Linked DNA regions of Arabidopsis thaliana. The protein of the gene in region 2 interacts with the protein of the main gene of each other region in a biochemical or structural test. Each region holds a gene or a part of one and is shown on either strand. Other genes may lie near its edges.

What was found.
Region 1: the proteins of PP2A (region 2) and AT4G08960 form a complex in vitro, tested with the Arabidopsis thaliana proteins (one study listed by BioGRID).

What each region holds. Positions count from the first base shown.
Region 1 is NC_003075.7:5,742,867-5,750,278, forward strand, and holds AT4G08960 (phosphotyrosyl phosphatase activator (PTPA) family protein), read left to right. Parts: upstream 1-3,404; 5' UTR 3,405-3,459; coding exon 3,460-4,628; intron 4,629-5,118; coding exon 5,119-5,128; 3' UTR 5,129-5,643; downstream 5,644-7,412.
Region 2 is NC_003070.9:26,346,443-26,353,530, forward strand, and holds PP2A (serine/threonine protein phosphatase 2A), read right to left. Parts: upstream 4,256-7,088; 5' UTR 4,070-4,255; coding exon 3,814-4,069; intron 3,386-3,813; coding exon 3,271-3,385; intron 3,185-3,270; coding exon 3,076-3,184; intron 2,979-3,075; coding exon 2,901-2,978; intron 2,816-2,900; coding exon 2,450-2,815; 3' UTR 2,279-2,449; downstream 1-2,278. UniProt on the Arabidopsis thaliana protein: Associates with the serine/threonine-protein phosphatase PP2A regulatory subunits A and B' to positively regulates beta-oxidation of fatty acids and protoauxins in peroxisomes by dephosphorylating peroxisomal beta-oxidation-related proteins.

The DNA.
Region 1 (7,412 bases), on a different chromosome or scaffold from region 2:
CTTCAAAACCCTCCCTCAATTGGAGCAGACAAATTTCGTATGCCTAACTTGTTCCTGAAGACTGCAAAATTATCTATGGCCAGAGGTTTTGTTAGAATATCTGCTAACTATGAAGTTGTACCAATGTGACGAGGTGCAATGTTACCTTGAACAATTTCATCAGGAATAGAGTGATATATAGACTGACATTCAACTTCTACATATTTCGTTCGTTCGTAAAACACCGGGTTTGTTGCAATGTAGATTGCAGATTTATTATCACAACACATAACAATTGGTTGATCATGATAAATCCCAAGCGTGAACAACAACTATTTAAGCCATTACAACTTCGATGTGAGAAAAACCATCGCTCGGCTTCAGCGAAAGATTTACTTACTGTTGGCTATTTCTTAGTTTTCCAAGAGATGAGGGAGTTCACCTAGCTGGATAAGGTAGCATGTAACAGAGGGACGAGTTAGAGGGCAAAAGAGATGGCTCTTAACGATGTCGCATCTCTCACCGGCTTAACCACAATAAACCTTTCAAGACACCTAGAGAATTTAAGTAAAAAATTGTTCACTATTGGAAACAGTATACACAATACTCCGGTGAAACGAGTAGACATGGTTTTGGGAGATACACGTGTAAGTTTTCATATTATAGCGTATTATATTTACAAATATTAAAACGCTAGTAGATTGTCAACTATCTGAAGTATAGTAGAATACATGGTCACACATGTCAAGTAAACTAAAAGATATTTAGCTACCTCACGTATATGGATTGCATGACCACATATACGAAGTATAGGGGTGTCAAAATGGGTCAAAATTCATGGGTCAACTCAACTCAACTCAACCCATGAACGTAATGAGTTGAAAATATTGACTCAAATGAGTTGATGGGTCAAATTAGTTATTGGGTCAATTGGTTTGATGAATAAAATAAATTGGGTTGTAATGGTTAATGGTTTCAATGGTTTACCCAATTAACCATTAAGTTTTGTAAAATTGAATTAAACCAACTAAAATCTCTAAATCAATGTCCATTTAAGTTGAACCAACACATCTAAACCAATTTAATAAAATCAATATTTTTCCAAATTTCTTAAATATACAAGCGATGAAATTGAGAAGAAGTAAACTCGTAATTTTTCCACCAAAAAACACAAAACCGTAATTTTCTCTCCAAAAACGAAAACCCGTGATTTTCCCACCAAAAATGTAAACCCGTAATTTTTCCGCCAAAAAAAACATAAACCCGTGATTTTCCCGCAAAAAACGTAAACCCGTAATTTTCCCGCAAAAAACGTAAACCCATGTTTTTTCCGCCAAAAACGTAAACCCGTAATTTTCCGCCAAAAAAACGTAAACCCGTGATTTTCCCACCAAAACATAAACCCGTAATTTTCCCGCCAAAAACGTAAACCTGTAATTTTCCCGCCAAAAACGTAAACCCGTAATTTTCCTGGCAAAAAAATGTAAACCCGTGATTTTCCGCCAAAAACGTAAACCCGTAATTTCCCCCCAAAAAAACGTAAACCCGTGATTTTCTTGCTAAAAACGTAAATCTGTAATTTTTTCGCAAATAAAGTAAACCCGTAATTTTCCCGCCAAAAACGTAAACCATTGATTTTTTCGCCAAAAACGTAAACCCGTAACAAGTGGAATCCGTAAATATCCTAAGTTTGATGATAATGAATTAATAATTATTAATAATTATTTATTATTATTTTATAATAATTATTAATTAAATTGTTACTTAAATGGACCCATTTAACAACTCAACCCATCAAATGAAATGAGTTATGGGTTGACCTTACCCATTTAACCCATTTAACCCATTAATCATTTAACTTTAAACTCATTTGATTATGAGTTGAGTTGAGTTGGGTTACCCATTTTGACATCCCTAACGAAGTATATGACGTCATGTAGTTAACATCAAAAGGATAACATCGCTGGACAATGGGTCATTATTGAAAAATTTTCTGTGTCTCAGACCATGGGAGAATTTATGGCGATGAAGCAATAATTACCGAATAAAAATCATTTACTCCATGATTTATAATACCAATTAAATAGTTTATAAGTTATTCTTTTTTATTTTTTATTTAAATTTATCTGTATATCAAATTTCATTTTTCGTGCATAAAATTTTGTACCAAACTACATCATTTCACATATGTAAAAAATATCCCTCGGGATTAGTTCTTTTGAGTTTAATTGATTTTGGTTGATAATATATATATTATATATATATATATCAATCTCCATTATACCAAAGTTAAAACTATATATTAATATTATTTTAGTTGATATTAGTAAAGGTTAATATAAATACAAATTAATATTTTTAGTTAATAAAATACTATATTAGCAAAAATCTGGGATAAATAATTTGATATCTTGTCAACATTTTGATACTTCGATAAATAATGTATTAATGTGTTATTTCTTTTTGTCATTATCTACAAAATGTCTAATGTAACTAAAATCTATTTGATAAAATGATGTGTAATTTTAATCATAATGTTTTACAAAATGTCTAATTTAATTAGATATGTTTAAAATTAAATATAAATTTTATTAAAATAATATTAAAATATTAATTTTATGTGGATGAGATAATCATTGGGGCTCACTAATGGAGGTAAAATTGAAGTATGAGTTTTTCTAAATAAAACATTCAAAAAATATAGTCTAATATAATTGAGATATCATGTGGGTATCTCACCAATAAAGATGATCTAAGCGTTGTCTAACAAAACATTATAACCACCTAATATTAAACAAATGTCAAACTTCGACATTACAACATTTAGAATATTCCCAACATTTTTATGCATTAAATTTTATATGTATATTTAATCCGGGTCAAATGGCACCCCTTTCTCCTTAGTGGATCTGCCACTTAACATCATTCATTTTCAATAGGTTTGTGAAGGCAAGACTTGTCCCCTTAACGGCAAATAAGATTGAAAACGACTATCTCTTGTCACACACTTCGTTATGTCACGAGCTATACGGTTACTTTGACTTTGAGGCATCACTACCTTGAACTTATACACCACTAGAAACTTCGAACTAGGTTGTGTATATGGCCAAAGTATGTCCGAGAACGGGCGCAGGGTTATTCAGAGTTTCAATAGATCATGTCAGCTTCGAAAGAATCCACAAAATATAACACAATATTGCCGTAATCTTGTTAAGGGTATGTAGAAAAGCATCGTAGCCCACGCAGCAACACCACATACAATAAAACTTGAATTAGTCCATGAAGAACTCACTATTTACATTCTTTGGGCTTATTATTGGGTTACAAAACCATCTTTGGGCTTATTATTGGGTCACAAAACCATCTTTGGGCTTATTATCAGTGATCCATAATTATTCCTTTGGAACTTTTTTTTATTAACCCTTTATTTCTCATTTGCTCTCACTATCGTTCGTTACGTCTCTGTAAATCACTGAGAAAATGGAACCTCCAAAGGAACAACAAAACACGCCGGAGAAATCAATCTCCGATGCTCCAGCCACCATATCCTCCGCCTTTCCTCCTTCCGGATGCTGCACAAACTGCGGCGGACCAACGATTTCAGAAGCACCACCACCACTAGCTTCATTCCCAGAGATGTCACCACCACCAAACTATCGTCCGATCCGAGCTCCAGCAATCAATCTCCCACACAACTCTCAAGCAATAATCCTCTCTCCCGTTCCTCACGCCGAACAAGTCCCCGTCGTATCTCCGCCCTATCATTTCCAATCTCCCGTCAAACGAATCCACTCTCCCGACGATATCCGCCGATTTCACGAATCCGCTTCTTGTAAGAACTTCTTAGGATTCGTAGTATCTCTCTCAGAATCGATCCGTGGATTTAAGATCTCAGATCCTTGTCATATCTCACCAACCGTCGCCGCCATAGTTTCAATCCTTGAAACATTGTTACAATGGATCGATGAGATTCCTCCTGCTCAACAATCAGCTCGATACGGTAACGTTTCGTTTAGGTCATGGCATGAACGGCTCCGTGAGAGAGGTGAATCGCTTATACTTGAGTTTCTTCCTGAGGAATTTAAAGAATCTGTGATTGAGATTGTTCCTTACTTCTTCGATAGCTTTGGGAACTCAAGTAGGATTGATTACGGAACGGGACACGAAACAAATTTCGCGGCGTGGTTGTATTGTTTAGCTAGGATGGGGATAGTGAAAGAAGAGGATTATCATAGTTTGGTTGCTAGGGTTTTTGTTAAGTATTTGGAGTTGATGAGGAAATTGCAAATGGTTTATTGTTTAGAACCAGCTGGATCTCATGGAGTTTGGGGACTTGATGATTACCATTTCTTGCCTTTCATATTTGGGAGTTCTCAGTTGATTGATCATAAGTATATGAAACCGAAATCGATTCATAACGATGATATTTTGGAGAATTTCTCTAGTGAATACATGTACTTGTCTTGTATTGCATTTGTGAAGAAGGTTAAGAAAGGTTTGTTCGCTGAGCATTCGCCGTTGTTGGATGATATAAGTGGTGTACCGAACTGGAAGAAAGTGAATAGCGGTTTGCTTAAGATGTATAGAGTTGAAGTGCTTGAGAAAGTTCCGATTATGCAGCATTTCCTCTTTGGCTGGCTCATCAAATGGTATGATTCTTCTTTTTTCCTTTTGTCTCGTTTTTAGCTGATCTCTATTGCTTTAAAATAGAAACCTTTGGTTGTGTAATGGTTTGTCGATTGGATTATCTATCTTGAGATTAATATCTAGAATGATATTTCATGTTGGTGATCTTAACCTGTGATGATATTGTGAATTCATTGATGGCATACCAACTTTAGAATAGATGATACCGGATTTTCTAGTATGCGGTTTCACATTTGTGATCATTAGTTGGATACTTATGGAGAATAATTTGCTGAAAACTGATGTGTAACAGCTGCACAATATTGTTTGCGCCATTGTCTACCCAAATTTGCATCCCATTTTTCATTAGACATGAATATTGACAGCTTCTCATTGGCCTCTATAGCTAAATCTCTTGTTGAGTTCTACACAGCTGAATCGTTCGTTTATTTTGCGCCAAATGTTTTAAAACATTATCGTGGAATCTAATTGCGTAAAAAATGGTGTTGGCAGGGAAGAGTGATTTACTTCAGTGTGCCATACATGGAAGCAGGGACAGCGATTTTCTCTTCCTTGAGGTTGCTTAACATAAAGTAGAGACGCTTTTGCTTTTGCATGTATCTGATAGGCATGGTTTATCTTTGGGTTTTTTTTTTATCATGCCATCTTCTTCTTGTATTCTCTGCGTTTTACAACTTCAGATTGTCTTTTTTGATGATTCGCTTCTGCCTTAGGTATCTAATAGAGTAAAGAACCAGATAAAGGGGAAAGGAATGTTTTATTCAAAAATCCTTAAAGACCATAATTTCCCTCTAGAGTGAATCTTCTTGCGCCTCGGTTACAACCGAACAATGAAGCTAAAACATTCTTGCTTGCGTCTCTCAATATCAGGAAAATAGAAAATACCCAAGTTATCTCCTTATGTGTACTAGACTACTAGTGATTCTCTTTCCTAGTTTTATGGCAAGTTCATGTAGTTACTGGGTATCTAACTTATTGATGCCTGGTTCTATGCATATCGATGCGACAAACGGCTACGACAGAGTAAAAATATAATTGTGAAGTTGATCACTTTGGCTGAAAATGATCACTGCGAGTTAGGTGTTGTTGCTGTTTTAATCGTTATTTTGTATCCACTTTGCCAAACCATATCAAAATTAGTCATTCTCTGAACATTCTCTATTTCATTATATTGGTTGCGAGAAAAATAGACTTGAATGTACACAACCAGCTGTATATAGTAGTTTCATGCGAGTCAATCTCTCTTTTTATGGTAAGAAGATCTGATACAAGTTGTCCTATGAAGATTTTTAAAAATCTAATTTTTTTTTTGTGATGGTAGTATCAATTTTGAGAATATGTGTATGAATGGAACTTGAATTAGAATTGCTGAAATTTATATGAAGCAAAAAGAGTATTGATGAGATAATGTCAGTACTTTTTTTTTTTTTTTTTGTCATATATAGTGTCAGTACTTTAGGAACACAAAATGATGCTAATTTAAATAGAAGCTAGAATGAAGAAGCACATAATGAAACAAATGTGTATATTTGAAATGAATATAGTATGTTTTAAGATGAGGAAAACAACATGAGGGTGACTTTGTCGCTCATGAGGAGAATGCAAATTATCAAAATACTTATCTGGTAAAGATGAATTTAATCTTTTGTTCATAGAAATCGTAACATTCGATGATGCAATCTCCCCTTCAACTAAACTGAGTCTTGTTCTCTTCATAGATATATGATCATCGTGAATCATTCTTTCTTTCGAACATAAAAGTCTAGTTTTCTTCATAACTTTTGTAGATGATTCATCTCAATAAATGTATGACAAAACATAATTTTAATTGGGATCTATCTTCATCATAGACATTCTCCTTAGATGTCTATCTTTAGCGTGTTATTTGTTTTGTCGATAAAAATATTTTCATGCAAAAACCCAGTAAAATAAAAACCATGATAAAAAAAAAAAGAGTTTAACCACGCATATCATTATATTTTTCTCTGTGAAGCATCATCTTCGAAAAATTATGATCTCCACTTTCTGCTACTTGTTGGGTTCTTGACTATAAGAGAAGAACTTTGGAAGAATATTTTTATTTATGTCAAGAGAGAATAATACCGACTGAATTCGATATCTACATCAATTTATGTAAACAATGTTGTTGGCTCTTTACTTGTACCTATTTTGCATACTTCTTGTGAATGGTAGGACATTAATCTGAGCCATAAAAAATCTATACATGCCTCATGAAAGGAATAATTTTGGCATGATTTGAACAAGTGACAACCAAATTTTGTTAATGTGAATGCCATGAATTTGTTGTTTTGTGTTATATATTTACAGGGATCCAATATGCATCTTTCATCTTCAAAACTAACAAAACCAAATTTGGAGTTGTAAAATAAAATAAGCCCAAGTAAATTGTACCTTGTAGTTAAAGAAGACATGTTTTAATTCATTTCAACGTCTCTTTGTAGGGAATGAATTAGATCCTACAAGTAGATTACTATTTTTTTTTTTTATTACTTTTGTTCATATTAGTTTGATATTTTAGGGTTCTTTACTTGTTCATAAAAGATTGATTTTGTAAACTTTATCTAATCTATTTTCTATTTTAAATTAATCAATGAGTATATTTTGGGGCAAAAATATTGAATTATCAAATTTCTCATTTATAAATTACTCTCGGATATTAACCATTTGTCTTTGTCATCTGTAAAAAGGACTAATTATTTTTTTACCTTTTTCTTGTTTTTTTCTCTTCTTATTAATCGTTTTTACTCTCTTTAATATTAAACCAA
Region 2 (7,088 bases):
TGTTTGAATTCGAATTATCTGGTGAAAATTCTGCTATTTGTTTACATGTGTAGGAGACAGAAGAAACTGATGATAAACAATGAGATGGATTTGTCAGATGCAGTGATTGTAAAATCTGGTAGATTGAAATCAGTAGTGTGGAATGATTTCGATAGAGTTAGAAAAGGTGAGACATACATTGCAATCTGCAGGCATTGTAAGAAGCGACTTAGCGGCTCAAGCGCGAGCGGGACTTCGCATTTGAGGAACCATTTGATTAGATGTAGGAGGAGAACTAATGGTAACAACAACGGTGTTGCTCAGTATTTCGTTAAGGGGAAGAAGAAAGAGTTAGCTAATGAGCGGATAAAGGATGAAGAAGTGCTTAGTGTAGTGAATGTTAGATATGAACATGAGAAAGAAGAACATGAAGATGTTAATGTTGTGAGTATGGGTTTGGATCAGAGGCGGTGTCGATTCGATTTAGCCAGGATGATTATCTTACATGGTTATCCGTTGAGTATGGTTGAAGATGTTGGATTCAGAATGTTTATTGGAAATTTACAGCCTTTGTTTGAGCTTGTTGCTTTTGAAAGAGTTGAATCTGATTGTATGGAGATTTATGCGAAAGAGAAGCATAAGATTTTCGAAGCGTTGGATAAGTTACCTGGGAAGATTAGTATTAGTGTTGATGTGTGGAGTGGTTCGGGTGATTCTGATGAATTCTTGTGTTTGGCAGCGCATTATATTGATGAAGGATGGGAATTGAAAAAGAGAGTTTTGAACTTCTTTATGGTTGATCCATCTCATAGTGGTGAGATGCTTGCTGAAGTTATAATGACGTGTTTGATGGAGTGGGATATTGACCGGAAGTTGTTTTCTATGGCGTCGAGTCATGCTCCTCCGTTTAGTGAGAACGTAGCTAGTAAAATCAGAGACCGGTTATCGCAGAATAAGTTCCTTTACTGTTACGGCCAATTGTTTGATGTGAGCTGTGGAGTTAATGTCATTAACGAGATGGTTCAAGATTCCCTGGAAGCTTGTTGTGACACAATAAACATTATTCGAGAGAGTATTAGATATGTTAAAAGCTCAGAATCTATTCAAGATAGATTCAACCAGTGGATAGTTGAAACGGGAGCTGTAAGTGAAAGGAACCTATGCATCGATGACCCAATGAGATGGGACTCAACATGCACCATGCTGGAGAATGCTTTAGAGCAAAAGAGCGCGTTTTCGCTCATGAATGAACATGATCCTGATTCCGTGTTATGTCCATCTGATTTGGAATGGGAGAGATTAGGAACAATTGTTGAGTTCTTGAAAGTCTTTGTTGAAGTGATAAATGCATTCACAAAGAGCAGTTGTTTACCCGCCAATATGTACTTCCCAGAGGTATGCGACATACACCTCCGGTTAATTGAGTGGAGCAAGAACCCGGATGATTTCATTAGCTCTCTAGTTGTAAACATGAGAAAGAAATTTGACGATTTCTGGGATAAAAACTACCTGGTTCTAGCCATCGCTACCATATTAGACCCGCGGTTCAAAATGAAGCTGGTTGAATACTATTACCCTCTGTTTTATGGTACTAGTGCTTCAGAGCTCATTGAAGATATTTCTGAGTGCATCAAACTGCTGTACGATGAGCATTCTGTAGGATCGCTATTAGCGTCGTCAAATCAAGCTCTTGACTGGCAGAATCATCATCATCGGTCAAACGGTGTTGCCCATGGGAAAGAGCCTGACGATAGACTCACAGAATTCGATAGGTACATTAACGAAACAACTACTACACCGGGTCAAGACTCTAAATCAGATCTAGAAAAGTATCTAGAAGAGCCACTTTTTCCCCGGAATTCAGATTTCGACATCCTGAACTGGTGGAAAGTTCACACACCTAAGTACCCAATTCTCTCCATGATGGCACGTAACGTGTTAGCAGTTCCAATGTTGAATGTATCATCAGAAGAAGACGCCTTTGAAACTTGTCAAAGGAGACGGGTTAGTGAAACATGGCGTTCGCTTAGACCGAGTACCGTGCAAGCCTTGATGTGTGCACAAGATTGGATCCAAAGCGAACTAGAAAGCTCTTGAAACTCTCGATTCATCTTATTTTGATCTGAGTGTTGTTTTTCTATAGATTAGATCTCAGCTCCAGCTTGTTTGTTTATTGTCTGTACCTCTCCACAACATTCATATTTATATCTACCTAGCTAGGGCTTTTGCTGTGTAACATGATCATCATTTCTCTGTACAAAGTTGGCTTCAATAGAATTTGGTGATAGCGGTTTCAGTTACTTGGACCAGAATCTTTGCACACAAAAAATTACGGATTTTAAAAGACAATGGAGAGTTTAACAAACAGAAATAGACGTAAGGAATATGAAATTACAAAAAGTGGTTAAGAATAGAAGCAAAAGAGACGAAGAGCTAGTGTGTGGAATTGCAGCTTTAGTTCTTTTGGTACTTACAAAAAATAATCTGGAGTCTTGCGAGTGGTTTCGGGTTCGACTTGACGTGGAGCTGGATCAAACTGAAGGAAATTCTGGTCCATGTTCTCACCGATCTCTAGAATCGCAGCCATGTTGCCACAACGGTAGCAATAGTTTGGGGCACTAAATACAGTCACAACGTTCTTTTCTTGGCACCAATTAAAACCTTCCATGACAAGTTGATGTGCTCTTGAAATCAGAGAGAGTCCATTGGTGTGGTTAAACTGAGTAGCGATATCTTGTCCGAAAGTGTAGCCTGCACCACGAGGAGATATTCCCCAACCGCATCGGTCATCTGGATCAGACCATAAGAGATCACACATTGGTCCTTCATGTGGAACCTAGAGGCAACACAAACATCTTAGTCTCGTTATGTAAACATCAAGTAAGGTGCATCCTTTTGTTGGTTTGGATTCTGGAACTAACCTCTTGAATTCGATCTAAAGATCGGATGTTGTCAAGTGTATCTAAAGAAGGTGAAAGTCCTCCATGTAAACAGAAAACCTACAGAAAAAAAGAGTTCTGTAGTCAAGTCCAAAACAGCAGAAACAGAGAAGAGATTGTCTAAGGTAGTGAAAACGCTCATTAGTTTTTTAAATACCTGACTCTCAATAAGAGCTGTAAGTGGAAGATAATCAAAAAGATCAGTGAAGTGCTTCCATACATTAGCATTTCCATATTTCCTCAAACATTCATCATAAAACCCATACCTGAAAAAGGTAAGCAATCAGCAAGAAACATTTTGAGAGAGGCTGAGAAGCTTATAATACAAAACTTAGTAGAGAAAACAACTTACACTTGAGTAATTTGACGGCTTTCATGATTCCCTCTTAGGATAGTAAGTCTATCTCTGTAACGAACTTTCAGTGCTACCAAAAGTGAGACTGTCTCCACAGAATAATACCCTCGATCTTCACAAGTTTAACAATGATCCATTAGTTAGCTAATTGAGCAACTTAAGTAGGAAACGGAGCTTAAGGCACTTAAACAGAGAAAAGAGAAACACAAATCCGAGTACTCGAACATGAAGCTTCACAAACTACATTAAAATGTTATATCTCCCAAGGTCAAGCTACTCCATTGTAGAAGCCCTGAGAATAGTTAACAGCTAAAACAAAAGTTTCGTCTTTTCAATGACAAAATCTTCCAAAACCAAAACTTTTCGATAGATAAACAATAATCTATCCATTTCTAGTAAACACTTCCAAATAAGTCTACATTAGCCCCAAAAGGTCAACAAAATCAAATCCAAATTAGGGAAAATACCCAAATCCAAATCAAGAGATGTGAGAAATGTAGAAACCCTAAAAAAAGCTATAAGGTAAAGAGAGACTCTCACCAACATAATCACCCATGAAAAGATAATTAGTATCAGGAGAAGAACCACCGATACGAAAAAGCTCGATTAGATCGTAAAATTGGCCGTGGATATCACCGCAGACGGTAACCGGACATTTAACCGGTTGAACATTATACTCTTCCACAAGAATCGTCTTTGCGTGCTCACACAACATCTTCACCTCCGTTTCAGATAACGCTTTACACTCCATAAGCTGCTCGATCTGACGATCGATATCTCCGGTCGCCGGCGGCATCTTTCTCCGATCTAAAGTAAATATAAACAATCCGGATTGTTTTTAATCTCGGATCCGGTTTGTGTTTGGATTCAATCTATCTATCATCATCATCACTCCATGGATTTAGAAGAAGAGAAATTGTGAATTTCGATTTTTGTTGGAACTTTGTATTTGTTTTCTTTTCATCGGAGTTGATAATTAATTATTCTCTCCGGCAGCCGCACCGAGTCAAAGTCCATTGTGGGGGTCTGACACGTGGCTTTCATTTTTTCAGGCCCATTCATAGGGTCGTTAATCGTTTAGCCCATTTGGCCCAACGAAATTGAAAGAACTATAACATAGCCCACCATAATCATAAAACTTTAACCATCGTTTAAACTTTAAAGCTTCGTTGAAACTTGAAACTCATAAACTTTTAACCTTAAATGTAACTCCTAATTCCAAATTAGTAAACCCTAATCATCATTTTAACGTAGTCGAAGCTCAGACCACTGAACCTTATCGTACATGCGAAAGTGTTCGCTCCAAAAATATGTCCCAAGAGAAAAATGTAAGATAAGAGTATATGACATTTGGTATGCGGATGAAAAGTTTCATACAAATTAAACTATTTTCATAATTTTCCTTTAATTTATTCGTTCACCTTTATTGTTGTCTTTGTAATTAAGTAACTATGAATAATTGTTAATTAAAATTTCTAGAGCGATAGGAGCAGTCGTATATGTTTAGTTCAAATGTTCCAGCTTTAAGACTGGTCTTCAGTTACTTTTGATTATGAAGACTGGAAGCCCAAAAAAAAAAAAAAAAAAAAGACAAAAAGAAGTTGATTGATTATTATGTCTCTGTTTAGTCTGTCTAATGCGTTTGGTAATAATTCAAATTAAAGATATTCAAACTCTTGAAATTGTGAACTTTAAAAGTGAACATGTAGGGATCATATATTATATATATGTTTAATTTTGCTTAATTAAGACAGAAAAAATAATGGTATTATATATTTGCTTTACCATGCACATATGTTCGAGAGTTACTTGTAAACCATTTTATATGTGGAACTCATGTTTTAATGGAAGAAGACATTTCATGTATCAAGTTTATCGTGGATGGTTGTAGAAGATTTTATAGAGCCGAACCGTAAACTCATGATTTTGCTATATATTCTTGCTTTTCTTTATTTGCAAATAATTAATCTACATTATTTGGTTAGTAATTCTTTTTTCAAGAACCTTCTCATCTCATAACTAGTCATACACTACGATAAATTGTAATACCGGTTCTCATTTTTTGTTCTTTTCATTTTAATACATATTAGCATATGTTGCGTAGTGTGTATGTTGGTGGTGTAGTAAATTAGTAAGCTAAGTCTAATAGTTTTTTGTATTTCAAGATTAGTAAAATTAATTTAGAAATTAGAAATATATGGAAAATAAGTGAAAAAAGAGCGAGAAAATGAGTAGTGGTAGAGTTAACCCCACAAAAGAACAAAAGAATAAAAGATGGGAAAAAAGCATAACACAAAGAAGCATTGTGGTCTCCTTTATTTGTAAGAACCATTACACACATTCTCCTTTTCAAATTTCGGCATTTAGAGCTCAAATTATATCATATATATATGCCATTGCATTTATAAATTATTAATATCTTATGTATCCAATCTTTGTCGACATCTCTTTTATTTGCCCCTTTGGAAGAATATATGCTTTCAGAATACATCAATAAATAATGGATTCGACATTTTTTTTAATGATTGGATAAGACTCTTTCAAAGTACAATTGTTCTTTACAAAAAAAAAATCCATCTTAATTCTTTTTTTTTCATTCAAAACATGTGATAAGAATCATATATTGTCTATATATAGAACCATTTTGTGCGAGTGTTTTGGTAATCTACAATTTCTAATCGTGAATATATACACAAGGGTCAATCAGGTACGTAATTATGATGTTTTCATTTGTTTTAAAAAAACACACTTGTGCGCGCTCTCTCTAAAATACCATGTTATTTTGTCTGCCAAATCTGAATTGAATTAGCATGTTATTTAGAACAACATAGGGTACTGCTATTTGATAAGAAAGCATGTTAGTAATAAAATAGTACCCATTTTGTGTTTTTGCACATAAAAGGAGTACACAATTATTTACCTAACTTAATAAATGTTAATGATCATTTAGTGCAAGTACCCAATAAACAATGTGAGTAAGGAAATAAAGCATCTAAACGTTATTTGATGATGGATCAAATTAGAAATAATCCCAATATAAGTCGTGCAATGCGTGAGAAAACAGGATTGCATTGCATGTACGTATACTTCTTTTCTTTCTTGAAATCCTTTTAATAATCAGTGTCTTCATTTTTTTAAAACCTCCCCTAACTAGCTCAATATTTCTTCACTATAGGAACAAAACAAACATTTAAAAAAAAAAAAAACAGAATTGTAGGGTCACAAATATTTTGCGCATATTTAAAAGATTCGATCCCAAATGAAAGGAAAAGAGAATCTAGCAGCAATACAAGACCTATATTAATTTGCCAACAATTATACTTCTCTCTCTCTTTCTGCTTCTTACCCAAGCTTTAACCGTACTTATGCTCTTCCTGGTGGTCGTCTTGAATTCCCTGCTCTCCTGTATTAAGACAGAACATAGAGTTACTTAATCCAAGTCATGTTTTCTTGTTTTTCTTTACTTTCGTATAAACGATAACAAATCATACAACATTAATTCATTAATTGATATTTTAGTGATTTAGTCAATAGACTACTTTAATACGATCTACATGGAATTAACTGTGATCATAAGTGGGTTACCTATATAACTAAGAAAAAAAAGGGAGTGTTCAAAGGGCTAAAGCTTCCATAAAGGAAAAAAGAAAGTTTTTAAAAGAAGCCATCTTATAGTGAATAATTAAAAATAGATTGTTAAACGTAAAGACTGAATAAAGCTAGCAGACAGCCTTTTGCGAGCTTCTGTGATATGTCTCACCGAATCTGAGTTAGTTAAAAGAAACAAAGTGTTTGTTTTTTTAGTAAAATTGTGC